Linked DNA regions of Kluyveromyces lactis. The protein of the gene in region 2 interacts with the protein of the main gene of each other region in a pairwise test. Links are inferred from orthologs where the notes say so. Each region holds a gene or a part of one and is shown on either strand. Other genes may lie near its edges. The genes, in order: KLLA0_E08405g and ABP1.

Region 1 (15,734 bases), on a different chromosome or scaffold from region 2:
TTATTTGAAAATCCAGTAATGTTGCCAAATGGCAATATTTACGACTCTGAAAAGCTAATATCATTATCTCGAAAACTAAACAAAATGGGGTACACTAAACTTAAAGAAAACCAAGTGATGGACCCTATTGATAAATCAATATATGCTACAACAGACTTTATCAAAATGTATCCTACTTAGATATAATAGAGAATATGTATTTTCTTATTCATCATCGCTGTCGTCTTTCAAAGGTTTTTTGGAATGTTTACGTTTATTGAACATTTCGAAAACGTACATTCTGGCATCTCTTTCCTCAGCTGGTTTGGTAGTATCCATTTCACTATTGGTACGCTTGTGATGATACCCTGGAAACTTGGACCAGTCGAATTTCCCTGATCTATCCACTTTCCAACCGTTATCTTTCGCTAGTATTTTTATTTGCCATGAATCGTATGGTTCGCCACTAAATAGAGAAAGAACCACTTTTCCATAACCTTCATCATCAACTCGAGTTTCATTATTTAGTGAGTATCCACCCATAGAAATGCTTGAGTTTAACATAATCTGGCTACTGTTTACGAGTCTGAACAGCTGCTTACAACTATCAAAGTATTTGTACACCAATTGTTGATGTTCGTGAATATTTCTGCCTTGATCTTTTATTCCACGACCTGTATGTGGAAAATTGAATAAGATGAAATCCAGTTTCTTTGTAGTCCATGAATTCCCCACTACTTTCTGCCATGGAGTCTTTTTCGTGATCTTCAAAGATTTTTTTAAGTTTGTTGCATCGATCCCGAACAGCATGACGACTTCATTCTCTTTAAGGAAATTGTAGTTTTCTTCGAAGCTATGTGGATACTTTAGCTTTAACTCTTTGATTCCACTGTCAAAACTGGTTATAATAAGATTTTCTGGTTGAATGTATTGCTGTTCAATAATGCTCTTCGCGAATGAAAAATCACCCTCACCAACCAAGAACAGAGTTGAATCTGAAGAAAATGGTAAAAATCCTGACCCTCTCACTTGTTGTTGTTCCTTTTGTCTTAAAGGTTGTTTAGTCGGCTTACCCTTAGCTGCCACATGTTTCTCTCGTTGCTGAATCTTTTTGGCCCTTTCTTCTCTAGCTTGATGATTTAACAAAGCACCTTTAAGTCCTTTGGATGATATCTTCCCCTTCAATTTCCGTGCCATTTTAGTTTGCCAGCAAAAAATTTGATAAAGTTAGTTGATAGAGAACTTAGTGAAACTGTTGACAGAGACTATTTCCACCTGTCTGCCTTGTATACTTAGAGACTTCATTCACCTCATCTCTTCGAAAATCTGTTTATGGAATTATTATGTTGATGTTTTCTTTTGAAATCACTATCTACAAAAAGGTTTGCATGGATTTTACTGTAAACTGGCACTAAATCTTGCAGTCTAGGTAAGGTTCTCTGATTTTAACAGTCAATGTAATTGGTTAGTATGGTATTTTCCAGCAAAAAGTCGGAATGTTGCCACTAGTTGATAGTTGCATCTCACAGATGAATTACTACTATAAATGATGGTTATTATTAAATCACGTGACATACCTCAAATAGTACCTGTAGCTTCTTCTGGTTCTTGACCAACACTGCAAGATAGTATATGACTTGTAATCCTCTGAAGGCTTCGTTGATGAAAATGTCTTCTATCTCATCCTGAGGGATGAATTTGATACTTGTGAATAATGCATAATTCCAATCCCTGGGGAACAACAAAAGCCCTCCCGAACATGATATTTGAATGCCCTGGTTGGCAATAGACTGTACTGAATCTATAATTGGTACTCTAATGAAAAGGAGGAGACAAATTGGATTCACATATTTTAGAGCCGGCCATGTATCTGCGTATGATAGTCTGATAATTGATAATATAACATAGAGAAAGATAATAGATTGTTGTCTTGAGATGATACGGCTAACTGATCTGTTTGTCGAGACAAATTTAATAGCAACATTATTATTATGCTCTATTGTGGTGACAGTCATACTTGTCGTACCAAGTAAAAGCCAGTCAGAGGTTACTTCTCTTAATTAATCACTACCTTTAATCATGCAAAGGGTTTTTTGAATAAACTTTCGTGTTTTTCGTCTTGAATTTTAAGAAAATGACAACATGTTAGAGTCTGCACAACTCCATGAATATGAATTCAGGTTGAAAGAGTCCTTTCTTAAGACAGATCAAATATTTTAGAGATACATACTTAATATTATACTAAGTTTGAGCTTCAATAGCTGCTTCCTCAGCTCTCTTCTTTTTGAGGTCATCGATAGATCCAAGAACGATTTCCGATTTTCTGTATCCTTTGAGTTGATCGTACCTACCTCCATGTTTACCTTTTTGTGATCTTTCATGCTCTTTAACAGTTTGTTGCTTGATGTCTTGCTCTCTAGCATTTTGACGTTCTACTTCAATTTGCTTTAGATGCTCTTCATGTTCCACTTGTAGTTGATCTAAGCGCTTGTTGAACTCAGTAACCGTGCCGATATTTTTTCTTGTTTCTTTGCAATACTGTTCAAAGTTTGGCGGAAGCTTAGATCTCAATGCAAGTTCTATCATGACAGGATGCTTTTTTTCTTCGTTCACAAATTTTGATTTGATTTGCCGCCTTGACCTATAAGGAAACAGTTGAGATATTAGATTGAAATCTGTCCCCCACATTGATAACGCCTGATAAAACTTGATCATTTCTTCAATAGTCCATGGATCTGTAAACTGCTGACGACCGTACGTAGCAGAATTGTATAAATTTTCGAATGGATTGTTCTGAATTTTTTCTTTAGATGAATTTTCAAGAGACGCGTTCTTATGTCTGTCGACAACCATAGATTCCTCATCAACAACCATAGATCCATCTGCGGCCATCTTCAATTGAATACCTTGATGGGGTTTCTCATCTGGCACTTCCGTATCAAAAAGATCCTGGGCGGCTTTCTTTCTTTCCTCTTTCAATTGTTTTTCTTCTTCCGTTACTAGTTCATTCAAGGACTTGAACTCTTTTCTAGCCATTTCTCGTAGTTCCCTGCGTTTTCTTCTCCTTTCAATCTTTAGCTTGGCAGCTTCCTTAGCCCTGCTAAAATTCTCAGATATTTCACCTATGGGAAGCGTTGGTTTACATAGGTCCGCCATAGTAAAGTTTTCTTCGTCTATCAAGTATTTGGATGAATCTTTGTCCGCTATTTTCTTTGGAATCATCTTCAAATTGGTAATGGTGTATTTCTGATAAAGATCATCAGTTCTTTGGAAGATATCGTCGCAGTTTTCAGAGTCACCAGCTGGTTTTGCAGTTAATGAATCGTCGTCTGGACTACTCATCCGTGATACTATACTAATCCTTTGAACTTTACCCGGTCCTTTTCCGGTTGAGGATCTTGATGACATTCGTCTCCGCTTAATTGCTTGCAGTGAAGAATCATTCTCCGAATTAACTGTTAAACTCTTCTTTCTCAGTGACCCTGTGGATATACTGGAGAGCCTTCTGCTTCTTTCTGGTACATTTCCCGTATTCAAGGAACCAGGCCCCATGAAACCAGACTTGAAAGTAGGTTTAGTTCCAGAGAGCGAGTCTAGTCTACTAGACCTACGGCGGTTGGTAGCACTTGATACTGTGACAACCGGTATCTGAGTGCTGGTTCTTGATGGGTTCAAATTCTTGACTAAAGTTGTTTGACTTAGTGGATCGTCCTCGTCAACAGTTTCGTTAATTTTGGATTCTTCATCACTTCTTTTTGGCTCCGTATTATCTGTACTAGACTCATTCAGTCCGTCCTCGTTATCGGCTTCATTTTCATGGGAATCTTCAGCAGTAGACTTGGTTATGTCATCGGACACTGGTGGTACCACAGTTGGAGCCGGTGTGGAGTTCAGTATCCGTCTTTCTCTTAATTTAGGAACAAAGCGCTTGGCGCTTTTATTCACAACACTACTCATGGTTGTCAGCTGGGTAGTGTAGCTTCAAAGATTCTTTGTTGTATGTTAGCTACTACCTAATGAATAGTGCATTCATCAAAATATATAGCACTGTCGCCATATTAATGTTTACTATCATATTTATTACAAAATTCCATATTTTCGTCAATCAAACAAGGCACAGTGACATATATCCGGGTAATAAGTGTATATTTTAAATATGCGAAGGCATTAAATAGACTGTTCATGTAAAAGAAGATAATAGCATACACAATATTAATAAGGTTTATAACGGTGTTCTTTCTCCTTCTTGGATTTAGACTTGGATTTTTTATCACTCTTCCTATCTTTTTTCCCATGTTTATTCTTCTTGCTGTGCTTCTTCTCCTTCTTATCTTTCTTTTCTTTATGTTCATCATCACTACCAGTAGAAGTAGAATCCTGTTCAGATGTTGAGGATGATTCGTGCTGCATTGTTTCTTGTCCCATATCCATTTCAATTTCTCTGACAGAGTTTTCAAATGCTGTGAATGGTAGTGTATAATCCCAAAAGTTGTGTGGAACGTTTAAAGAGTTCGTAGTGTCCTTCCATACATTAACGTAACCATCTTCACCACAAGAGTATAGGAGGGAAGTTTGATTTTTTGGAATAAGCACATCTCTTATCACTTCATTTCCGTGTGCATCAGGTATTACCAGGGCACTAGAAACATCAACTTGTTCATTTTGGAATGGTATTATCTTGAGTTCACCTTGACTTTCATGAGTTTTTCCAGTTGCAATGAAAGATGGGTATATATCAATAACATAGTCACAACCCCACTTATCTCTTACGTCTCCAAATTCTAGTGGTTTAGGCTCTATCATTTCATCTGATTTATCGTTCAATTCGTGAATACCAAAAGTTTCCATATGCGACAAACTCCAAATCCTTTTCGGGCCAAGCCATCCACAAGAATGGATGGAAGCAAAGTTGATAACTTGATGTAGTGCATCCTCCTCATCGTCTTGAGTCAAATCATAGATGTTGACGTAACCATCAGTAGACCCACTCATCAGCAAGTTTGAGTCGCATGGATGGAATTTTATATCTGTAATGTCATCATGATGCGAGTCCACAAATGACCGCACAGGTTTAGTCCAGTTTCTTATATCATAAATATGCAATTCAGCATCGTAATCCTTTAGTTCTGTGCCACATGCTAACATATTGTGCCTTGAATCTAATGAGAAGAAGGGAGATGCTTTATCGTTTTGAAGAGACGCAACATTGTTTCGGGCTCTAATATCCCAAACTTTAACACCGTCCTCTGCTGCAGTAGCGAACACAGCACCAGTATCAAAATCGGAGTTTATAACTTTCATATCGTTGATGGAGGTTGTATGGCATTGAATACTGGATATGGTTTTCAAGTTGCCCCAATCCAATAAATGCACTGAGCCGTCACTTATCGATGTCATCAATCCATGTTGATATAGAGGTTGCAATTTCAAGCACCAGTTGTTTTCTTCAAAGTAGCGACATTTGTATTTGTTGAAGGACATTGTGGGACTTCGCACCGTGACTGGTTATAGTGCAGTAGACTTTAACAAACTAGTTTACTCGATGGGATGAGATGAATCTTTTCTACCTCTAATCAAAAATAATAGCTTTAACTACTGAAAAAGAAAGATTCATGTTCGAAGGTGGAAGGAAATGGTAAAAAGAATGGTTCCTAGCGGGATCGAACCGCTGATCCCCGCGTTATTAGCACGGTGCCTTAACCAACTGGGCCAAGGAACCAGATCTTATGGTTTTTCGTATATTTTTCCAAACTCATGGCGCATGGTGGCGAGACCGCTCAGGAACAATAATCGAGTAGCTACCAATCTAATTGACGGATAAGTAGCAATATGTTACATAGACATGCAGCTAATAACAAATATCGATTCATCTGATTCTGAAGATCCAGATCTGGTGGCACGTGACTGAAATGGTTAGATAAAAAACATCAACATCTTGACATCTCACAGGCTGAAGAGAACCATATATTCCATCACTTTTTTTTAAGCCACATTATTCCAAATTAATGTTTATTAGCATAGGAGGCCTTAGCAAAACCACAAGGCCACCGCTGTAACTATTCCCTGCTGAGAAACTTTTCTCCACAAAAAATAAGGGCACAAGTAAGCACCAGGGTCCAAGACTTGCCTTCACCTATTGTTCCTTTTTCCTTGCAGTTGTTATCACTCTTTTTAGGGACCCGCCCCTATTAACATTTTCCAATGTTGACAAAAAAATCAGGCTTGAACATTGAAAATGGAAGTCAGTTTTTTTTTCATATAAAAAATTATAGATTTGGTAAATTAAGTGCTATTCAATGAGGTTTACAGCGTTGAGCAGGGCAACAAGAAGCATAGTAGTTCCACCAAGCTACGGGGTTTTATCCTTACATTTATTTTTTTTGCATTTCATAGTTCATCCAAGTGGTGCACTTTTATCAATTGTGAGTTTTGCATTATTTTTTTTTACTTCATTCTGCCTGGACAAATTTCCATCAATTTGCTTATATACTTTTGTGCTATAGGTCACAGTACAAGAGAGCACGTAGGAAAGACGGCATTTGCAAAAGTTTTCTCGAAGGTTAACCCATTTGTGTTGGCGTTATACGCTTACTGTATTTTAACTGCTGGCTTTTCTCTTTTTCTTTGCATTCTGAATTCACATCTATATGGATCTTTAAAATGAATCAGCCGCAAATTGAGAAATACGCATCGGGTACCATATTGCCTGTTGGATCGCATCAGGTGAAGGTTTTGAAATATCTCGCGAGCGGTGGGTTCGCGCATGTATATTCCGTTGAAATTAGCCCGCCAGATCCGGTATGCCCAGATAATGTAGCATGTTTAAAGAGAGTTGTTGTTCCTGACAAAGCAAGTCTTAACACATTGAGGGCGGAAGTGGATTCAATGAAGGCTCTTAGAGGCAACAAATTCATTGTTTCGTATATCGATTCACATGCCACTAAGTCTCCGGTTAACGTAGGAATGTATGAAGTGTACTTGCTTATGGAATACTGTTCTGGCGGTGGGCTTATCGATTTCATGAATACCAGATTGCAGAATAGACTTCAAGAGTTTGAGATTCTCAATATCATGAGTCAAGTGAGTCAAGGTGTTGCTGCTATGCATGCTCTGCAACCACCATTGATCCATAGAGATATTAAGATTGAGAATGTCTTGCTCTCGAAAAATCATGAATTTAAGCTTTGTGATTTCGGATCAGTGTCTGGTGTCATTCGAGCGCCAAGAAATACAGAGGAGTTTAACTATGTCCAGTACGATATAATGAAAAATACAACGGCGCAGTACAGATGTCCAGAAATGATCGACTTATACCGTGGTTTACCGATAGACGAGAAGTCTGATATTTGGGCATTGGGTGTCTTCCTGTACAAAACATGCTATTATACTACGCCGTTCGAGAAAAATGGGGAATCTGCCATCTTAGCATCTAAATTCGAGTTCCCAGCCTATCCACGTTATTCTGATAGAGTGAAAAATTTGATAAGTGTCATGTTACGTGTAGATCCTCTGAAACGTCCGAATATTTGTCAAGTGGTAGAAGAGGTTTCACGTATTCAAGGCATTCCATGTCCAATCAAAAACTTTTATCTGTTAAGAATGATGGATAAACAGGAACAACCAAGGGTGTCGCCACCTCCTCATGTGCCACAGATGACTGTGCCGGCAACTGTGCCAACTTCTGTTTCAACTCAGCATCTGCCCCCCCAAGTTGTATCAAACGTACAGACTCCATCGAAAACTGCATCTATTCAGCACTTGCCTTATTTGCATGTGTCTAAGAGTCAACCTATGGTCACACAGCAGGATTTACTCTCACAAAAGCAACCTGCAGGAAAAACAGTTCCTCAGACGGTTTCAAACTACACAAGTTCAGATCCATTCTCCAAAATTGATAGATCTGCTCTTTTGTCTACTTCTGCTACAATGGAATCACTACCGAGGGCAATGAGAATACCACAACTAGAATATCAACAGCCTCATCTTCTGACAAGATCGCAATCAGTAGTGCCTAGAGCCTCTGTGAGTCCAGTAAGAAATGGTAGAGGTGCCATTTCAAGTATCTTGGCATCAAACAGAACATCCTTAGATAGACCAAAGTATGTGGACTCTGAAACTCAAACCAGCGATCATCCATCAGAACTGGGTCTTTCACGATCTCTGTCTAGAAAATCAGTCGCATCATCTCTGTCTTCTGCGGAATCCTTGGAAGCTACCTCAACTGGCGGTAGCTTGACTCGTAAAATAGGTTCTAAGATGAAAAAAGTTATCACCGGAGAGAAGAGGGGCTTTTCAACCATTAGAAGTGCACAAAATACCGGTGAAAGCGTAAAATCCGCATTTAACGCATTAAGAAAGGGAATTTCCTCAATGCAGTTCACTGGTGATAGCAGTTCCAGAAAATCATCTTTAGAAGCAAGAAAGTATAGAAGTACTTCAGGCAAATCCATTCCTGAAAATACTTCTTCTAACACCAAATCCCATAGGCGGTCCACCAGCTCGTTTTCCTTCGTTCCGGAAAATAATGACTATGAATTGATCGAAGATATACAAAAGGAGAAACCAAAATCATCACTGAGAAGATCCTCTTCCTTGAAAACTTCATCTTCGATCCAGAAGCGCGTTAAAGATCTAATCAATGCAGATGATATACCCAATCGCTCTTCTGCCACTGGATACGGGAAATATACTGATATTGGGAGGAAAACCGATATATCTGACCACCATAAATCCAATGCAAATCGTAAATCAAGTACAGTGATCACTCCTGTGCATGAGGCTCCTAAATCCAAACCAGCACCGCCACCCAAACCAGCTCATTTGAAGCCAAATCTTCCACCTAAGCCTAAACACCTAAAGGCAAAATCTTTCAGAACAAGCCCAGCAAAATCCGAAGTTAAAGAGCAGGATTCCGATCAAGATTCTGTGGGTAGCCCTTTCCAATCTCGAAAAGAAATGAAAGAGTTTGAAAGAAGATTTCCAAGTGCATTATAGAATACTTTTAAAATTACATATATCTTTATAATGATATTCTAATTATTCCGATTCACTCCATTCTTCGAAAGAATCCAATATGAAATCAGTTGCTTCTTCAAAACGTTCATCGAATATGTTTGTCATTCCGTCACAATCTGCCTTCAAAACTCTACCATACTTCTTTCTTAACTTCTTATTTTCGTTGGCCGTACTACCCCAACAAGAATGTGTGCTACTTGTGAATACCAAGGAATTCTTGAAATACCAATCTCCTAACGTTTCGTCAATTAATGGCACCATTACTTTAAGAGGTTTTTTGTCTAAAAATGATATTGCACATTTTACCACTGACCTGGTATCCCTATGGCCTAATAAATGGACAATGCCTCCGTAGGCATCTCCAATGCCGATAAATGCCACCTTTTGTAGATTTTGGAAGAATTTCAAGTAGTTATCCCATAAATATATCAGAATCTCTTGTGATGACGCAACACCTGGGTAGTTGGCATGTTCAAAGAGTGTTTGAGGTATATTTATGTCAATTATTCCATATCTTCTATCCATTGCCCAATTGATCATCTTCAAAGCATTGTCGACGATAATTGAACTAGAAGGATCAATAATTCCTGTCTGTGTGTCACGTTCAGACCAAATCTCTGGTGTGTCATGCACGATCACCACAAGTGTTTCAGAGTCTTGGATACCTGAGGTGCATAGCATAGTATTTGCTGGTAAATTCAAATCAAGAATTGGAAGTTGAACAAAGTTGAATTGTGATGAGAGCTGTGAAACTTGGTATTCTCTAATAGCATTTTGTAAAGGGAAATTCCTTGTGTCCAATGTTGAAGTTATAGCATCCTTGAAATTGATCCCGTCATTTCCATGTCTGTTCTTAAAGCAAGACCAATACTTTGACTGCGTTCTGATGACTGTTTCGATCATTTTTTTTGCCTCTGGAGTTGGTTGCTTTTTAGGAGCAGGCAATTCATCTGGTGGTTCTCCGACCAACACCTTACAAACACCAAGCGCCGACTTAGCTATAGAATCCAAATTGTACCCACCTTCTAAGACAACACACAAGTTTCCTTTAGCCAACGAAAGTAGCATATGGGTCATGTGACCGTAACAAGCAGGAGTAACATGGCATTGGCCGATAGTGTCACCATCGGCTGCATCAAAACCAGATGAAATAAGGACCAAATCCGGTTCAAACTCGCGACCCATTGGCATGATAACTTGTTCAAAAGCCCACATGTATTCAGCATCACCAACACCGCCTGTTGGCCACGTTATATTACAATTGAAACCTTCACCTTTCCCTTCGCCGGTTTGGTCATAGTTTCCATGGATAGTACCTGGGTAATACTTGCCTAATTGATACCTGTGAAGAGATACATATAAAACTCTATCATCGTCATAGAAGGCCTTTTGAGTTCCGTTACCATGATGGATATCCCAATCAACGATCATGATTTTACGAACACTTTCAGGATACGATTTGAGCATATTTGCAGCAGCGACGGCTACGTTACTGAACAAACAAAAACCACCAGCAATTTCAGGTTCAGCGTGATGACCAGGTGGCCTTACTACAGCTATTGAGTTTTTCACTCTTCCCTCGACGACAGCCTTACATGCTTCGATAGCACCACCGCATGAAAGTTTGGCACTAAGATACGAGTCATTATTGAAATACACGGAATCTCCACCCTCAGTCTCCTTGAGTAAACTTTCACGTTCGAGCTGTTCTGTCTGTGATATGAAATCCAAATGCTGTCTTGAATGGACTTGCAAAATTTCTTCCTCTTCAGCTTCACGTACGGGAACCTTCACCATTAGATCTCCGATCGAATCTGCACCACTCAAAGTTGGGTCCTGAATCAATCCATTCTCCGCTAGGATCTTGTAAACACGGTAGATACGGCGGGGGTCCTCTGGATGTGGATCGATGTATTCGAAGTAAGACGTGAAGATCTTAGCATGATAACGCATCCTCACATCATAACAGATCCCGGTTTTCAAAAGACTATATCTAATCTTTGGCTTCGTTGGTGGAACAATGACAGGCCGTTGAGATTCATCTTTACTGGGCAGAGTATATGCAGTACCCTCATTTTTAATTTCCTTGATGCTGGGCCTTTCCAGCGGCTCTTCAGCCGGTTTTTTACTTTCCATGTTCCGAATATATTATGGAAAGGTAACCACGATAATGTTGAATGACAGGCAATGGCAAAAGGGATACCGTAACTAGCTTTCAATGGGAAACGGTCTACTAGAAATGAATGATACAACCACAAATTACGTAACTCCAATGCACGCTTAATTCCCTAGAGCGCCTTTTTACCTTCTAATCGTGAGGAAAGGCTAAAAGTCCACTGAAAATGGCGGAAAAGCTGTGAGAGAACTCTCTTCGTTCGGATTATCTCTCGAAATTTTACTGGCCAAAAAAGTTGTTTTGTGTTCAGATACCGTCAGAATCGTTTGATTGACCTTGGTTATATGGACGTAGCTGTCTTGCACAGGATCTGGTACTCAGAAGATCCGTATGAAGATCAGCTGTTTCACATATGGTTCCATGAGCGCAGGAAATTGTTGATGTTTTAAAGTTCCAATATTTACAGAAAACCAAACTGAGGTGACAATAGAAAAGAAATTATTTTTCAACATCGGACTCTTCAAGTACTGAAAATTGAAAATGTATAATACGTATGAAGAAACATGTAACAAGAGCTCATCGCGATGAGGTATAGAATAGACGTAATATAGTTACGTGTTAGAACTGATTTTGCTGGATCTGTGGTACAAGCTATACAGCGCTATTTCATTGGATTTTCATTTTAACTTCATTGTGATTCGAGATGGAATTCTACCGTGATGCAACCTGGGTATTGGAATTCGTGGAACAGGAGCTCTCTAAAGACAAGAGAGTTGCAGGTTCGTTACAGACCTTGGTACTTACTAGTTGTAAAAGATATAAGCTGAAGACAAATCCTCGTCACATTTATGCCATTGTTAGTAGTACATGGCAGTATAGGGAATATCTAGATAAAATCATTAAGAAGAGCGGGATCTTGGAGGACGTACCGAAAAAGAAAGGGAAACCGCTGTTCAATAAGGATACCATAAGGCTCCTAGTACACGACCTTTTACTTTCAAAATCGAAGCGGATTCAGATGGGTAAGCATCCTATCAAAACTTTCATTTTGAAGCATCAGACTAGGTTAAAGGCTGAGTTGACAAAGCTCAAAGTTAAACTTAAAGTCACCAGTCTGTCGCAGTTAATCAAAACCGATGATGGAGAAGATGTTACACCGGTTCGTTGGATCAGAATTAACCCTATCCTTGTCAAGGAAAGATATGACGATGTTCTTGCTGAATTAAACAAGAAATTCCCACAAAGAGTGAACTCTTGGAAACAAATCGTTCCTGGGAGCATATATTACGATGAGTATATTCCAAACTTGTTTGGCATTCATCCAGGTGATAAGATCACTTCGCATGAGCAATATAAGAGGGGGAAAATTATCATTCAAGACAGGGCATCCTGTTTCCCCGCCCACATCCTCAATCCAAACAGTACTGACGTTGTTATCGATGCATGTGCGGCTCCCGGCAATAAAACCACACACGTTGCGGCACATATCTTTGGAGACGTTGACACCAAGGTCGATTCAGTCAAGATACATGCTTTTGAGAAGGATCCTGAGCGTGCAAAAACTTTACAGATGATGGTTGCCACCGCGGGTTGTGCTAAGGGGGTCAAGATACATGTTGGTGATTTCACAAAACTTGGTAAACCAGAACTTTTCCAGAATGTAACTGGATTCATCGTTGATCCAAGTTGTTCTGGCTCTGGTATATTTGGCCGTAAGGCAATTGATAAAGTAAACTTGAGCAAGACTGGGTCATCAAACACCGATGAAGATCAGACCTCGGTTGAACCTGTGGAGCAAGAAAAAGAATTGTTTGAAAAGGAACAAGATTTGAAGAATAGATTAGCCAAATTATCATCTTTCCAATACCAAATTGTGAAACACGCCATGTCTTTCCCATCTGCTAAGAAAATATGCTATAGTACTTGTTCTATTCATGCTGAAGAAAACGAAAGAGTTGTCATTGATTTGCTCTTAGACTCAAAGGTCAAGGAATGGGGTTGGAAAGTAAGAAAGAGAACCGGTGTAATTCCAACATGGCCTAGAAGAGGATGGACCAGTGAATTTGAAGAGGTGTTTCCGAAAGAGGAAGCAAAAGAGTTGGCAGAAGGGTGCATCAGGGCTTTACCGAAGGAAGATGGTGGCATTGGCTTTTTCGCCGTATGCTTTGAGCGAGATTAGTAAAAGTCCATTAGTTCTATATCCACTGTCCATGATAAAATAAATATCGAATCATAGCAAAGTTATTGGCGTAACAAACGTAGAAATATATTCATTATATATTAATTAATTAATCTAATTTAGATAGAACATCCTCCAACACTTGTTGGGTGGTGGAGTTACCACCAAGATCTGGTGTCAAGTATTTACCCTCTCTGATGTTGGCATCAACAGCTTTGTGGATATCCTTTGCCGGTTCTGGGTAACCCAAAAATTCCAACATCAATGCAGTGGATCTGATGGTGGCAATTGGATTAGAAATACCTTTACCAGCGATATCAGGGGCAGAGCCATGACATGGTTCACCAATAACGATGTTTGGACCAACATTGGCAGATGGAACAACACCCAAGGAGCCAACTAGGGCAGCAGCACCATCAGAAAGAATGTCACCGTACAAGTTTGGTGCAACAACAACGTCGAAACATTCTGGTTCTCTGAACATTCTGTAAACCATGGAATCGACGATTTGTTCATTATATTGGACACCTCCGTACTTGTCCTTGTTAGCTTCATAAGTTTCTCTGCATACCTCTCTGAAAAGACCATCAGATTGTGAAAGAACATTGGATTTGTGAGTAACTGTTAAAGTGGCATGACCGTTCTGTTCCAATCTCTGTTGAGCGATTTGTAGAGCGATAGTAGCAATGTTTTTGGTTGCTATTTCGGTAATTCTCTTGGTAGCATCTGCAACTCTGGTTCCGGTGGCTTCATCGATGTATGACTTTTCCAATTTAATGTATAAATCTTCAGTGTTTTCTCTAACGATGACTAGGTCAACTTTTCTGTCCTTAGTACCATCAACAGATTTAACAGGACGAACGTTAGCGAAAAGTCCCAAATTCTTTCTTAGGGCAACGATTGGAGAAGAGTAACCTTCAACCTTAGTCGTTGGTGATTGCACAGCACCAAATAAAGCACCTTCACATTGGTTCTTCAAGATATCAATGGTTTCGTCAGGGAGTGCCTTACCGGTGTTTTGGAAGGTTTCCCAACCAGCTTGCAAATCAATGAATTTAAACGATAGACCGTACTTTGGGTTCAATGATTCTAAGATCTTCTTACCAGCAGGAATAACTTCTTTACCAATACCATCACCTGGAATTAAACCAATTGTTAAATTCTTCGCATTGGAAGCGTAAGCACGACGGGACAATTGAATGAAACGTGTTCTCATCATATTGAATGGTTGTTATATAGCGAAATGAAACAATTCGCTGCTTGATCTTCGGGACAAGTAGTTCGATAACCTTAAAACAAAGTAAAATGTGATGGTTTTCACAGAATCAACTACAGCTGCAATCCAATCCAAATCGTAACACTGGGGTGTATTTATAGTTTACAGGTTATTCAGTTTCCTGTAACTCATATTTCTTTCAATGATCCCAATGACTGGTTGATGAAATTTCGAATTTCCACAGGAATTTATCTGCGATTCATTGGGAAACTGAAAACTCCCTTTCGAGCATTTTGAAAGTAGTCAGGTGACTAAACGATAGATAACCGTATGCCTTCACGTAATACATAAACATATATGTTGACACATCAAGGAGGACTTCTAGATCTGATGTTGCAGCATATAGCATTGCTAGTTCGATATCGATGGGATTTTGTCGTCAGTACAGGTTTTAGGTTATACGGATTTTGGTACAATTCTCTCTTTTTTCTTTTGCTGCCTTTACACTTTTTTTCACGTTTTTGTATGTAAAAGTCATCTCATCTCATCCCGTCATACCGACTCTTAGCTTAAATCTAAAATATAAGCGTCCATTCCATCAAACGCGTCACTTGATCGCAGCAGTTGAATTAGAAATGACTGCTGAAGAGCTAATATACCCAGAAAGTGAGCCAAGGCTCTATTCCTCTGATTCGGATTTTGACAGTGATAACGATGAAGATACCAATATTCCTTACTATGAGCAAACCGTTAAAGAAATCAAAGATGGTGATCAGTATGTGTGCATGATTTGTACAGTGGAGCTTGATTCTACATGTCGGATGTATGCGTGTGATTCCTGTTATAGAGTTTTCGACTACGAATGTGTCAGGGAATGGGCTTTAAAATCTACAAACAAAACGTTAGATAAGTCTTGGAAGTGTCCCAACTGTTACAAAATCAACCATAAGATTCCAAAACAGAAAAGAAGTACCTGTTGGTGTGGAAAAGTTGTCAATCCAGATGTTAATGAGCTAGATCCTAATTCCTGTGGTCAAACTTGCAATGCATATTCATGCGTACATGGTTGTTCCAAGGTTTGTCATCTCGGTCCACATCCTGAGTGCCTGATCCCTGTGCAAATTAAATGCAAATGTGGAAAACACTGTAAGCAAATCCCTTGTTCTAGGTCTAAAGTTCTAGGAAACTCCTATAATTGCGGTGATGTTTGTGGTTTACTTTTGCCTTGC
Region 2 (15,170 bases):
TTGGAAGATAGTAGTCTTAATCAATTCTGAGTGTAATTCAGCAACACCATTAACCTTATGAGAACCAACAATGGCTAAGAAAGCCATTCTGATTTGTCTTTCCTGAGAGGCTTCCTCGATAATGGAAACTCTACTCAAAAGATCAACGTCCCTTGGGAACTTGCTTTCGACGTGTTTCAAAAAGAACCAATTGATATCGTAGATGATTTCCAAGTGTCTTGGTAACAAATGTCCGAATAGACCGATAGGCCATTTTTCCAACGCTTCTTGCATGACTGTATGGTTAGTGTATGCAAAGGTTTTGGTAACAATGTCCCATGCTTTGTGCCAATCCAAATGTTCCAAATCGACAAGGATTCTTTGCAATTCAACAATTGCCAATGTAGGATGAGTGTCGTTCAATTGGATTGCAACTTGATTTGGAAAATCTTCCCAGGAGTGTTTAGCCTTCTTAAATCTTCTAACAATGTCATGCAAAGATGCGGCACACCAGAAATATTGCTGTTTCAATCTCAATTCCTTACCCTCTTGGAAGTTATCGTTAGGGTACAAAACAGCAGTGATGGATTCAGCACGTTGCTGTTGTTCAACAGAATTCTTGTAATCACCACTGTTAAACTTGGCAAAATCGAATTCAGTGGTTGGTCTAGCAGTCCACATTCTCAAGTTGTTAACATTTTCGGTCTTGAACCCAGGAATTGGCATGTCATATGGAACAGCAATGACTCTTTCACCTCCAATCCATTTACTTGCACACAATGTAGAGCCATCCCCATTGTTATCTGACCTATCAACGTAACCGTAGAAGTTAATTGGCACTTGAATTTCACTTCTCTCAATTTCCCATGGATTGGCAAAGTTTAACCAATAATCTGGGGTTTCCACTTGGTAACCATCGATAATCTTTTGAGCAAAGATACCGTACTGGTAACGCAAACCATAACCCCATGCCGGGTAGTCTCCTGTTGCCATTGAGTCAATGAAGCATGCAGCAAGACGACCTAGACCACCATTACCAAGAGCAGCATCCGGTTCTTGCTCCAACAAATCTTCTAGCTTGAAACCCAACTCATCAATGGCGCCCTTAATTTTTTCTCTTTTCTCAACACCACTTTCCTCAGAACCATCTTGTGAGTTAATCAAAGCGTTATCCAAGGCTCTACCCATTAAAAATTCCAACGACAAGTAGTAAACCCTCTTCGAGCCACGCGCTGTTTGTCTCTGCTGACTTTTGTTCCAGTCAATGACCAAGTTGTCACGGACACTTTGAGAAGTGGCTTGATATGCAGCTAAATCATCACAATTGTACAAAGAACGAGCCAATGTCGTTTCAACGTGTTGAATGAATTTGGACTGAAATTCGTCTGGGGTTTCAAACTTCTTAACCCCATGTTTTTTCCAAATTTCTCTACTCTGCAAAGGAATCATAGTATTAATACTCTTAATTTCCTGAGGCAAAAACCCAGTCAAACGACGGGAAAGACGAGGCACACCATGAGGCTCGTCAACCATCATGTCATTGGATGTGGAAGTGCTCAAGCTAGGTCTTCTAGCAGTACCGGAACCCATCTTGGCTTATCTTTTCTTATTCTTAGTCTAAAAAACCGCTTGCAAGGCCCTTAAAAATATATATAGCTTCCTTTCAAGTTAAAATAGTCAATCAATTAACTGCTATTATATTTGATAGGTTGGCCTTGAACAATTGTAACAATTGTATCTGAAACTTTCACAATTCTTCATTCAAGGTGGTTAAGGCTCCCCTTTCTTTCATTTCCTTTAAGACATCCCTTTTCAATGGTTCAATTGGCATTTAAATGCAAAGCGGAAAAACAAAAAAAACTGAAAAGAAACTATTTTGGTGGATGGCCTGACTATGGATGTACGAGTATTTCTCTAGATATAACTAACTATTTACCTATAACTACATTTAATTCGTTTTCGAATACAGACAAAGACGCAACCCTTAATCTATCAGAGACCGATTGTTGAATCCATGTGCGACAAGTGATATCAAGTAATATAGTTTATCCCTGTTGTCAAGTTATGAGGTCCAATTACTATGTTACTTGATCTATGTTCCATCGTTTAAAAGTTAGAACGAAAATCCTCTATGCACATGTTAATCTCCGTACTAAACCTTTTATTCCGGCCTCTTAATGCAATATGTTCTCTATTGTTTCCCCACGCTTTCAGAAAATGTAGTTTTGTACGTTAATTACAAAGCTTAAGGGGCGACGGGATAATTGCTTATGGTTACAACGTGACGAAGAGTGACATTCCTCGTCAAAAGGTGAACTGGTTTCTCTTATACAATTAGCGTAGTTTGCAACGTGATCGGCGTTCTCTTGAGAATTCAAGCAAGGCACAGATGTGAAAGTGAATGTGAAAGTAGAGATGTAAATGTGAATTAAGTGAAATATCTATTTATGGTTACAAATTTCAAAGATAGTGCAAATGGTCAATTTAGTTGAATTAGTCTAGTTAGTAAGTTTTCATTGAGGTGGGTTAGGGGTGATTTCATCTAGAACACTACAGTTCGGATGTATCACATACACTGTCTTGGCATTTGAGGATTCGACATCGGCAGATAGATCGTCGTTTTGACCATGTATTTGCATCAAGACCCTGTCCTTTACCAATCTTTTGATGACTTTGAATGCCAATTTCCTTTCTTGCCAATATTCTGCTTCGGTGTTGATGTCGTTTTCTTTCTGTTGTAAATACCAATCTACTATCTCAGTTTTTGTCATTTCAGGTTCTTCATTCTTTTCTCTGTCAACCACTTTCCGTACAATTAGATTCATCATTTCCACGTATTTATCATATGATATTGCGACTTTATGTGTTGTGTGATGAGCGTTGTCATGAGACTCTACGTCAGGACCACCCCCCGTTTCGGAGTCGGCGTTCAGTGGTTGAGAAGGTGACTGAGATTGTGTATCAAGTGTTTCGCCGAAGTGTTGTGTGGCAGGTATTGTGCCCTCACCCTCCGTACTTTCTTCTGGGGAGTTATCGTCATCTTCAATTTCAACGTCATCAACATCAACACGGATGATACTCTGTCTCAACAAATCGTACGCCTCAGCGACAAAGCTCGGAACAATTTCATCCACGCAATTAGCACGAGCAATAGCTTCACTTAATCTGATTAATGATTCCAGTTGTCTGACAGTTATACGGTACGAAGATTTACTGTACCCCTGCGCATCGTCTTTCCTTAGTTCTGTATATCTTTTGACTAGGTAGTCACGAGCTTCTTTAGTCATTACCGGCTTGAAAGTCTTGGCATAGTTGATATAACGACTCAATTGTTCTGCTGAGAATGGTGGATTAATAGCAGAGTCCCTCTTCATGTGCAAGTCTACGATGTGGGAAGCTAGCTCAGTATCGATCTTCTCATTGCAATCATCAAGAATGACAAAGAATAAATCGAATCTGGACATAATTGGTGCAGACATGTTCAAATTAGATCTTAAAGTCAGTTTCCTATTGTACCTACCGCCGACGGGATTAGCGGCAGCCAAAATTGAAGTTCTGGCATTTAATGTTGCATGAATACCAGCTTTGGCAATCGAAATGGTTTGCTGTTCCATGGCTTCATGAATAGCAACTTGATCTGCGATATCCATCTTGTCAAATTCGTCGATACAACAAACACCATTATCTGCCAACATTAACGCACCAGCTTCAATAGTGAAATCACCACCTTCTTCATCTTTCACCACAGCTGCAGTCAAACCAGCCGCTGAAGATGCTTTACCGGAAGTATAAACGGCTCTTGGAGAGAAGTTACAGACGTATTTTAGGAATTGAGATTTTGAGGTGGACGGATCACCAACGATACAAATATTAATGTCACCTCTCAATTTAATGCCTTCTACAGTAGTTTTATGAACACCGCTAAGCATTTGTAAAAGGATACCTTTCTTAATGGTTTCATGCCCGAAAACTGCTGGTGCAATCGATTTCACCAGTTTGTCATAAATATTCTCATCTTTCACCATCTCTTTTAATTCATTAATTTCGTCAGAATCAAGCCTTGTTAGGAAAATTTCTTGATCAGTTTCTGCCGCCATTTCATAGTTTTGATAGTTTCTCAAGTTAATATAATCAAATTTGGATGTCTTATCGGCGTCCTCCTCATTAATCCTACTACCATTGAAACTGGTACCAACATTTTCAACATGGCATGCCAAAAACGATATTTTGTAAGTTAAATCTCTAACACCTAATGATTTGAGCCCAGAAATACCTGAGTTCAATCCTTCCGTTGTCCGTGAGATACCTCTAGAATCTGGAGTCGAACTTGCTTTAACACCAGGCAAACCAAGTTGACTAACGTCTGGAACGACAATTTCAGTACCAATAAATTTACATCTATCACCTGGTTTAGCTCTTTCGACACAGTCACCACGAAGAATAATATCTAAGGTTCTTGGCATAGAACCGGATGGAATTTCATTGGAATTTTCTTGAATTCTTACCTTTTGCCAATCCAAGAATTTGGACCTGTTCACGTTTAATGACCAGAAAGATTGGTTCTCACATGTTGGATTTGGACAAGAGGTTGGTTCAGTGTACTTGAAAACTTGTTCCACATTGTCAATAACAGCTCGACACAATTCGCATGTAAAACTGGCTTTGTATAATTCTGGTCTAATTTCCGAAGTTCTCGTGACTGTGCCTGAAATAGCCATTAAAGAACCAATCTTATTAGCCCTAATATCTCTGATTCTATGGACAGTTGGGAGATTCAGGAAACTGATTTGCAAAACACGTTCAACCTGATCTGGATTAGTGGCAATGGTAGATGGGGCAGTGCCTCCTGCGGTGGCAGCCTGCGAAGTTGGCAAAGATGAATCTATTCTTTGCGAAGAGCGGTCCTGAGAATTCTCTTGAGATTGAGAAGGAAGTACAGAGTCAGATGTTAATAATAATCCAGGAGCGTACTTCTTCACCACATTTCTTAGCCCAGATAAAAGGAATGGCAAAAATCTGTAATACTGTTGTAAAATAGCAACCGCTAAAGCTCCGTCTTCCACCTCGGCCAAATGTTTATAGTCAACGTATATGGTATTCAATTCGTACCATCTCATATATTCAATTTGGACTCTATAAACCTTCTCCATCTCACCTGTTTCATCATTGAGGGCGGTGAAATTTGACAAGAAATGTTCGAATGCCTCTCTTACAGTTTCACCAGTTTTATCATCAACCTTTTTGATGGCATTCAAGTTTTTCTGCCTGATCCCGGCTAATGGAGTAATTTCTTGTGAATCATTTTCCATAGCCTCTATTTGTGATTCTGAATTAATGCCTTGCCTAGTGTCATCAGTACCGAAATGTCTATTTCCATCTGACACTCCTCTGGAAGAAGATGGAAACTGGGGAGTTCTGTTTCCTAACGACTGATCATCGAATTGTGAACTATCATAAGCACCTACACTAGAGGGAGGCTGGGATGATTGCTGACCATGTTGAAAAGGACTTGATGGTGCCGACATTGTTGCTGATTTTTTCAGCTTGCTCCAACTATGTCCGGTTTTGGATGAGCCGTTCAACCTGGATGCCCTTCACATTGAAGATCATGTTTTAAGTGTTTCAACATGTAAAATCATTTTTTTAATTTCTGAGTTAAGGCGATTCAATATTACTTTTCCTAAAGAGGTATTGCAAGTATCCAAAATTAGTTAACTGAGGTATAACACGAGGAAAACCATTGACTATCGACCATAACATATCGATAACCAATGCAGCAAAGTTCAATTTAATGGAATTTTTTCTTTTTGATTCGATAGGGAGAAGATAAAACATCGGTGAATTGATAATAAAAATTAATGATACGTAGGTAAGAATTCATCTTATTTAAGCGATATAAGTATATGGACGCGAGGATTTTAGAAAGCTGGCCAGGGATAAAATAGCCCCCCTGACAGTCAGTTGCATTAATGGTGAAGTGAAAATGAATCTAAAATCGAAAGAAAAGAAAAAAATGTAACCAGATAAAATAAACCGAAAATGTTAATGTGGACATAGGTCCACTGAAAAGCCGAATGGAAAAAGATTCAATCATTCTTGGTAATTGTAAGTATAATTGAAAAAGTTCATGAATTGCTGAGTTTCTCTGAAGTGCCTCTCACCCAGAGCGTACTCATTCATTTGTCTTTGTAAAGTAGTATTAATCTTAGGTTCATTCGAGTTATTCGTGAATTTCACTTCTTCTTCCATAGACATGCCTGCTTGCTCGATGTCGAGGGGGAGTACTTCCCAATCAGGATTTATTTGTGACTTTTGATCGGTAGATATGAAGTTCATTTCTTTATGGAGAACAGTATGTTCATGGGAGGATTGGGATGAGATAGACCGTACGGTGTCCAAAGCTGCATCTTCAACTGGTGATTTGTTCAATGAGGAGAATTCATCGAATGGTTGTGTACATTTGCGTAAATGAGTAGCTGTATTTTGAGATCCCGAATGAGGTATTAGTTGTGGTTGTCCTGTGAAGGGGACAGAGTTCGAGGGAGCGAGAGATGGGACACCGTTGCCATACACTTGGTTTTCGAAATGACCGTAATTCTGATTGTCGTTATGTTCATTGATATTTCCATTGATATTTCCATTGTAGTTTAGTGGTATTGAAGCCAGAGCAAAAGTGTTATCCAAAGCCAGGTCAGATATGGTTTGTTTGATGGGCGGGGAGGCAGAAGCCGGTTTAGAATACTCACTCGATAACTTCTTCCTATTTTCTGGCATGAAGTTGCTGATAGGCACCTTGGCTTCGCTGATAGTTGCTTGGTTGGAAATGAAACGTGACTGTCCATCAGAGGTCATGATCATTTTCAACTTCCCACACTTTTTACTCTTCTTCAGGTTACCCTTGAAAGTTGGCAAAATAGCTTCACATTCACGATTTTCAATATGATGTTCAATCCATTCATTTGTCGAATCAAAGTGTTTTTTACAACGGCCGCAATGTCCATGAGAGTTCACACGGTCCACATTCTTAACATTATCAGGATAAATGAAATGCCTTGATCTCAAATGGGTCTTATAAGAATCTCTTCTGGAGAAGCCACCTGTCGAGTGACAACGTTTCTCAGAAGGTAGAGATGCATCCCAGAAGGGACAATGATATGCCTTTTCTATGGCATGTTTCTTGATGTGGCGAGTTAAATACCCTCTCATTTTGAATTCTGCATCACAATAATGACACACAAATTTCATATCTGTTTCCTTCTTCTCATCTGACTTATCAGTGGGCACCTGAGACTCACTGTCGGTTGATGAGACAGGAACAATACCACTAGAAACTTCTGGTGTTGAACCTACAGAACTATCTTCTGACTTGATAACATCCACATGATCATTCAATGATGTCTTCGAATCATCATTCGCAGACGTCTCTCCTGTCTCTGGAGTAGCGTCAGTCTTAGGGGTAATATCCTGAGTAGTTTTCGTTTCACGATCCTCATTTACCTTTGGAGATGTATTCTGTGCGAAAGCTCTCTTAGAGGTAACAGGGTCAGTGTCTATCGTCATCTTCCATTCCATTTGACCTTCGGGAGTCCTTGCAACGGACATTGGGCTTTGTAATCCATTGATGTTCAAAGAACATGGTATGACAGAGGCATTATATTCTAACTGTCTGTCCACATTATGCGAGGATGGGAAAAGAGAAATGCGCCTGTTGTCAGTATCTTCTTGCGAGTTCTTTCCATTTTCATTAAGTTTCCCATCTTCACCTTCATCTTCATCTTCCGTTTCAAAATCCGACTTATTGCCCTTGTTTCTCACGTCCATACTTGAATCATCCTGTAATGTCTTACAGTCCAAAGAAACACCTACGACGTGACTGGCGATGGCATTGAACCAATTAGTCAAACGCCAAGAGAGTCGTTTGAGAATTGACTTATCCGTATCTAGCAATTGCACGGAAGGCATGGCTGATTAATCAAATGCAAAGTCAAATAAACGCTTTCAATAACAATAAGATGGTATAAGCTCAAGTTGGAAATTTCAAAATCAAAAGTGTTGAACTCTTAGACTTCAGTTTCCTTGAGCTTTATTGTTTTAACAATCTGAGTCAACTATTGTCACCTTCGTTTGTGATAAATGATCAATGGTATTAAGACCAAACAAAAAAAAAAAACAAAAGAAAATCCTTCGGGTTGGTTACACTTCTCAGATAACAGTCAAAGTAAGTAATTTATGGATATATGCAATATTCCTAGTTGATGTTATAAAAAGAATAATTAGAAAGCACCACTAATCGCAACTAACTTGCACTCAAAAGGCCAAAATCTCCAATTATTGATTTTCAATCTTCAACTTTCATTATCAATTTTCCTTATCCATCATTCTATTTTTTCCCTCTGATTGCCATGGTCGCAGCTTTTTTTTTTCATTTTCATGAGATTTCTCTTTCGAAAAACTGAAATTTCTGTCAGTATTAATCCAGACATGCTGCTAAACGGGCCGGAGAAAATACGGAGATACTTATCTTGAATACGTAGTTAGTTGTGTTCTTCGTGTTAAGTGATGTGCTCATGTTGATCGGGTAATATATTAATCATTTGCACTCTATAAGAGTAATGAAATAACTGTCTGCTCAGGGAATCCTAGTTTACAGTCTTTCGGATGCAACGCACGTGATCTCATTCATATATGGCAGTTTAAGCATTTGATTCTAAAGTCCGAAGCTGGCATTAGAATACATCTAAAACGTGTAAATTGAGTAGTGTACATGTTTAATATAGTTTACATTTCGAGTAAAGCTGTCTGAAGCTTATAGGAAGCTGAATTCTGACTTTGTGAATTCGGGATTTGATATGGTTATTATTCAAATGCATATGCAATGGAGTGTTTAGTTTATACTTCATGCAGGAGAGAAAAAAAAGAGTGTGAGATGAAATCGATAAAGGATAGAATGCAAATATGGTGAATGATGCAGATTCACTTATTTGGAATTACCCATTACGGTGTCGTCACTTTTGTTTTTAGTGGGTTCGGTAATGGTACCTGATGTTAGCTCTGGTAGGTTAGATTCGATTGATTTTCTGGAATTCAAGGACCCTAATTCCCATACAGTCGCCGAGTCTCCACTGATGTTGTCTTGTAAATTTGACCAAATATCACCATCATGCGTAGATGTACATGGGGGTTCATCGGTTTCTACTAGTTGGTAGTCCTGTTGTACTTCTTGTAGTCTTTTTCTTTGCATGTATCTGTAGTAGTTGTAATAGCATACGTCGATTAGTACAACAATCATGCCTAACCAGTTGTAAAATCCTAGCCTTTCATTGAATACCAGCATGCCTAAGAAAACGGTGAATAGTTCTTTGATGATCCCGGTGACACTTAAAGTTAATACAGGAGCCAATTGTAATATACCAAACTCACACATTGTTAATATGAAAACAAGGCAGCTAGGGAGTGTGAGAAGCGCTAATCCACGTAATAGAGCCGCGAGTTTCGAATGACCTTCCCAAGTCATCAATTCAGAATGCAGTACATCAGGAATCGGACGTTCCACTATGAATGAAGTGGAAAATAGAAGTATAGTCATTGGTAAAGCTAATTGATATAGAGTGATGACCGGGTTTTTCTTAGTAGCAGGTTTGTCAGCAGCCATCAACTCATCACCATCGTTGGGTGACAAGACAATGGTGTTCTTCTTGTGGTTGAGAATAACTTGAACGTAGACCCATCTGAACCCTCCTAGGGCACAACTTATCACCACAAGTATCACACCAAAGGTTTCCTGAATTTCACCATGAGTCTGAGAGCTATCTGAGTTTATTGGTTTTAAACCCATCATCACAACACCACAAAACATCAATGTCACTATAATGAATAGTCTCCAAGATGGTACTTCCACCTTGAATAGACAGCCAAAGAAAAGAACGAATGCAATAGTAGATGATTTGACAATTGTATAAACAGTGAATGGAACGTATTTGAAGGAAATGTTGCCTAAACCAATGTCACCAGCAGTTGCTATAGCAGTTGGGATAATGTACTTTGCATAGTACTTCCAATCACCTTTGTTCAAGTTTTCGGGGGTTAGTTGACCTTTCCACCGGAGATACAGATATGCCATACCCCATAACTGTGTTTGGTGCAAGCCTGTCACCAACAATGGGTATGGAATATGCAAACTTCTATTAGGATCGAACATCCATTTGTTGTACATGGTAAGAAGAATGGCTGCAATATACATCCCCATGATCAAAGTGAAGATCCTCACTGTGTCTCTATCCATCTTCATTGTTTTTAGCTATTTTATATTGACAAAAGTACTACGCCAGGCTTCTTCTAATTTTGTATTAATATCTCGTCTCCCTACAGTAGCAATGATTCACACAGATCTCCCAGAACTTCCATTAAACAAATCAATTGACTTCGAGGTTCTATGTTATTTCATTCTCTACATGTGGTAGGCACAAACCTAGTTACGCATCTTTTTCATGTTGAACGAAACCTATTTTCTTCTTAGATGCTTTCCTATGGATGAGGCTGGTGAAAAAAAAAAAAAAAAAAATTAATGAACCACTAACAAATGAGACTAGGACCCTATTGAGATAACTTACAGGGTTTTTATGAACCGGAAGCCGGAACGTTATATATCAAAGTAATCGTCGTACCAATTTGGCTCCCAAAATAATGTTGTTTTTGACATCTTGTGCCACCTTGTCAGAGAATATCAGAAGGATTTTCCCAAAAGATACAGAACAATCACCAGCTGAATATACCTTCAAATTAGTATGTACCAGCTGTAGAGAGGAGCACGATTCCCCTATTAGAATCAATAGGTTTGAATCTCATGACATGCCTGGAAGTAAAGGAAATGCCTCGTTCGTGATGAAATGTAAATTTTGTGGCAATGAGTGTTCAATAAACTTGACCAGGACTAAGGAAGACTTATATAATTTAGATGAAGAATCTAATTTCGAATTGATTGAACAGGGTAAAAAGGACAGAAAGAAGGTTGGCTTACGTTCTGTTCCTGTGGAAAAAGCTGTTTGGCTCGAGCTTGACTGCAGAGGATGTGAAGTAACTAAATTTGAACCTGCTGACACTATTTTTGTAGCTGAACTAGTTTCGAAGAAGGAAATGGAGTTTCAGTTTGAAGACGACGAAAACGAATGGTATGATTATGATGACGATGCTGGAGAAGAAGTGAGCGTAGTAGATATGAACTTTGAAATTGTAAAAGGCAAATAAGTAGACTTTTGTTTAGTTTACTTTTGTACTTTATTTCTTTAACATTATTTACTTGTAAAGTATACATGATATATTCATTTCAAAGTCCCACCAACTTATAACATCATCATTTATTAACAATGATAAAGTTAGAGTAGTGGTAATTTATTGGATCATTCCTCTAAGTTGACGTAATTACTTGGGAATAGACCCTTTTCACCTGATGATTCAAGTTCACCCAACCACCAATCATCATCGACAAATTGAATATTAATGATTCTTTCATTTTCTTCAAAAGTCAATTCATTATCTTCGCCGGCTTCGTAATCATATTCAGCAATAGCTGATGGTCCGGATTCTTTCTTTCCAGGTTTGGATGCTCTTGGTGCTGGAGATGGAGGAGTATTTTGAGACTTAGAAAATGCTCTTTCATCATCATCTTCTTCGTCCTCGTCACTTTCCGGTGGGGGTGGAACATTTCTCCTAGTTGGTAGAGAAGGAGCTTCTTCCTCTTCCTCTTCCTCTTCCTCTTCCTCTTCCTCTTGCTCCTCCTCTTCCTCCTCATCGCTTTCGGGTGGGGGAGGAACATTTCTTCTCACAGGCAACGAAGGAGCTGGAGTTTCTTCCTCTTCTTCTTGTTCCTCCTCATCACTACTCCAGTCATCGTTTTGTTCCTTCTTTTGATCATGCAGACCTGGTAGTGGTTGGCCAAACTTGTTCTGTTTCTTGGTCCAGCTGTCAGATGAGTTGATCTTAGAAGCTTGAGGTCTAGATCTGCTAGAGTCACTTGGTTTTATGATAGGAATTTCCTTAGTTTTAATTGATTCAAATTTTGATCTGACCTCTTCAATCTCTTCTTCAGCTTCTTCTTCTTCGTTAGAATCTGAGAACTCTTCTCTTTGGGTCTTGTTCTCTAAATTAGATGGTTTCTTTTGTCCCTTCTTTTCAGCCCAAAGTTGAGCTGGTGACTTTTCATTCTTGAAACCCTTGATCACCTTATCGTCGCTATCGTTTCCTGATGATTGAGCTGAGGAAGAACTCTTTGGTCCCAAGACTTTGTTGTATTCTGCATCCCTCTTTAGCTTGGATTCTTGCTTTAATTTAGCAATCTCAGATTGAGGATCAATCTTTTTGTCGTAATTAGGCCCCGAAACAACTAGACGGGGATCTTCTTTACTGTTTTCTTCAGCAATCACTTTTTGTAGATCAACTTTACCAATTGGTTTCCAGGAAGAAGAATTTGGTTCTAGTGGTTTCTTGTCGAAATCACGTTCTTCCAACTCTGGTTCACCCCATTCATCGTCCTTCTTACCTCTGCTCTTCTCAGTCTTTGGGGGAGAAACGGATCTTCTTGATGGGAACGATGGTGTAGGTTCCTTTTGCTCAGATTGTCTGGATGAAACACTGACTGGTTTCTTGGCTGTCTTGGCAGCAGAGGAAATTGGCTTCTTGGAGGCCGGTGTTTGTTGTTGAATTGAATAACGGGCACCAGCGGAGTTGCTGATTTTCATTAACAATTCAGATTCATCTAAGTCATCCTCATCTCTGGCGGTAACCTGAACATGGTAGGTCTTAAACACTTGATTAGAGATCACACCGAAATTCTGAGCAAATGAAGCTCTGGTTTTCAATGGAGCGGAATCTGGACACCAACCAATTAAAATCAACTTCTGAACATCAGAACCTGGTGGAGAAACACGAGCTAAACCGTATTGAACCTTGGTATCATCGAAACTTTGCAAAAACTCGCTGAAAGAAGTACCGACTAGTTCAGGTTCGTATTGTTTCTTAGAATTTGGCGAGATGATCAACCAAGTAGTATCTGGATCACCCTTCACAACCTTCAGGTACTCGGCCTCAATGGCACGCGAGTGTGTAGTAGTGTCAATTGGTTCAAATGCCATCGTAATTGCTATGCCAGACTGATAACCCTATAATAACTTAAGATCAATAACAACAAGAAAGGAACGTAATGCACCTCAAATTTGTCTGGTAAATTGGCAAAAACACACACTAATTCAATTGACTTTGCAGAATTCTTGTCTTAAGATATTTCTATATTTGTTTAAATATATATAAAGGTAGGATGGTACAATCATTCCACCAAACAGCAGTGGATTGATTCATGTTTAATAATTTAACCTAGTTCAAATATTGCATTCATGGCGAATAGGAGACAATTGTCAAGATTTTATTTCATAGGTTACCCGGAATATGAACTGTGGTTTTAGTTTCGAGAAATTCGTGCAGATTTCATTTAGAGAAACAGCGGTTGACATGAAACCGGGTAATATTTAGTACCATGAACAGCGGTCAGAGTAGAGAACGATATTGCAAAACTGTTATTAGCTTTATGAAGAGTTTTCTTATCAAGGAATCAATAACTATTTTTTGGAATAAAGCTGTGATGATGTTTCTGTTGGAACAGGAAATTAACTGTCGGTGAGAATTTCAAATTGCTCGATGTTCTATTAATTATTCTCCGGCCAGATTTCAGCTTATTTTCCACTACGAAACGGACCTTATGCTGAAATCACTGTTGAGTTAAACATTGGTTATAATGATGGGGGCCTTACCACAATAACTGATCCCGGAACGACTTTCCACGTTCATGATTCTCATATATGCATGTTAGGAAACTATGCCATCGCAACTCTGAGAAAGGTACTGGTAGACAAGCTCCGAAATCGATAATATCGATACCGGCAGGTTTGTATTCACTGACGCACTATTTGAAAAATAGGCCTTCTTCGAGATTATACAAGAAATTATCGAACCCAAGGACAAGATTCAGATCGAGTAAATATCATATATGGTCAAAATACGATTTAATACAAGCCTTCATCGATTTATGGGCGTATATGTAATGGCAACAAATTTATTTCTACCGGTGATGGTTCCTTTTCCCCCGCGGCTGATGACGATGGTGGGGTTACAGACGAACTTGGTTATTCGAAACCATCTACTACTTTTTCTCCACTGCAAAAAGAACTTGTATCCGATTTTGAAGCTGTTAAATTGGCTTTTCCCCGTTCCTTTGGCCTTTATGACGCAAGATGTAAATAAAAATGTCCGAAACTTGTCACTTAGCAGTTATCACCGAAGTTGCATATTGAGTGGAGCATTAGAATCCTATTTCGGCAAGAAAATATCACAGAAAATGGGGGGGAGGACGGATTAAGGCTTTTCAAACAAACTATACAACGAAGCTATGTATAAGGACAATCAATTGTCGCTAACTGACGGTCAGTTGCCCATTTGAGTGTCGTTTCATAAGAAAATACATGTGTGGAATTTGTATCACGTGACTATGTCTATGCGATACCTTCCTAAATTGTGGGTGTTAGCCAAAACATTTGCAAGCATTCGTAACTAATTTAGAATCTTAACCGTGTTCAAAGAGCTTTCAACATTCAAATTATTGGGACTTTTCATGGAATTACACATATTTCCTTACATTGTTAATGTGCTCCCCATAAATAAGTTTAAATTCATACACGCTGTGGACTTTTCTTTTTCTGCTGATGTTAAAAAGTGAAAAGAATCTTCGGTGATGAGATGAGATGAGATGAGATAATATAGAATGATTATACAGATAAATGACTTATATTCTAGCATCGGAATATCCTAGTTGAACGCATACCGTACCCAAACATAAACTGCTCAAAGAAGATGGTAACATTTAATTGTGAAGTGTGTAACGATACTGTTCCTAAAAAGAACACCGAAAAGCATTACTACCGTTGCCCACAAGCTTATTATACTTGTATTGATTGTAACCAGACATTTGATGACGGTATCTCTTACAAGAAACACATCCAGTGCATAACAGAGGATGAAAAATATCAGAAAGGATTATACAAGGGTAAAAAGAACGGTAATCAGAATGACCAAAATGGAAAACAACCGAACGCTCAAGTGAAGAAGGAAGTCAAGGTCGAAAAGAAAGAGGAAAAGCCTGTCAAGAA

Evidence for each region.
Region 1: the proteins of ABP1 (region 2) and KLLA0_E08405g interact in binary tests that used the Saccharomyces cerevisiae proteins (3 or more experiments, as listed by UniProt). The link is inferred for Kluyveromyces lactis from reciprocal best matches to the Saccharomyces cerevisiae genes ABP1 and PRK1.

The regions. Positions count from the first base shown.
Region 1 is NC_006041.1:749,444-765,177, reverse strand, and holds KLLA0_E08405g (Ark/Prk/Nak family serine/threonine-protein kinase), read left to right. Parts: upstream 1-6,639; coding exon 6,640-8,973; downstream 8,974-15,734. Other genes in the region: glucose-induced degradation complex subunit FYV10, read left to right, coding at 1-180; BMT5 (25S rRNA (uracil2634-N3)-methyltransferase), read right to left, coding at 205-1,176; phosphatidylinositol N-acetylglucosaminyltransferase GPI15, read right to left, coding at 1,539-1,994; transcription factor TFIIIB subunit BDP1, read right to left, coding at 2,221-3,936; KLLA0_E08449g (uncharacterized protein), read right to left, coding at 4,192-5,460; histone deacetylase HDA1, read right to left, coding at 9,016-11,130; rRNA (cytosine-C5-)-methyltransferase RCM1, read left to right, coding at 11,814-13,289; LYS12 (homoisocitrate dehydrogenase), read right to left, coding at 13,399-14,508; FAP1 (Fap1p), read left to right, coding at 15,141-15,734. UniProt on the Saccharomyces cerevisiae protein: Protein kinase involved in the regulation of actin cytoskeleton organization and endocytosis. Phosphorylates PAN1 which disrupts the interaction between PAN1 and END3, and between PAN1 and SLA1. Phosphorylates SCD5.
Region 2 is NC_006042.1:933,126-948,295, forward strand, and holds ABP1 (Abp1p), read right to left. Parts: upstream 13,107-15,170; coding exon 11,376-13,106; downstream 1-11,375. Other genes in the region: GPH1 (glycogen phosphorylase), read right to left, coding at 1-1,569; MCM DNA helicase complex subunit MCM6, read right to left, coding at 2,493-5,504; KLLA0_F10109g (C2H2-type zinc finger protein), read right to left, coding at 6,070-7,941; YMD8 (Ymd8p), read right to left, coding at 8,957-10,267; KLLA0_F10153g (uncharacterized protein), read left to right, coding at 10,663-11,223; KLLA0_F10198g (uncharacterized protein), read left to right, coding at 13,827-14,069; KLLA0_F10219g (uncharacterized protein), read left to right, coding at 14,875-15,170. UniProt on the Saccharomyces cerevisiae protein: Regulates ARP2/3 complex-mediated actin assembly. Recruits ARP2/3 complex to sides of preexisting actin filaments, which may promote nucleation or stabilization of filament branches. Binds to actin filaments, but not actin monomers.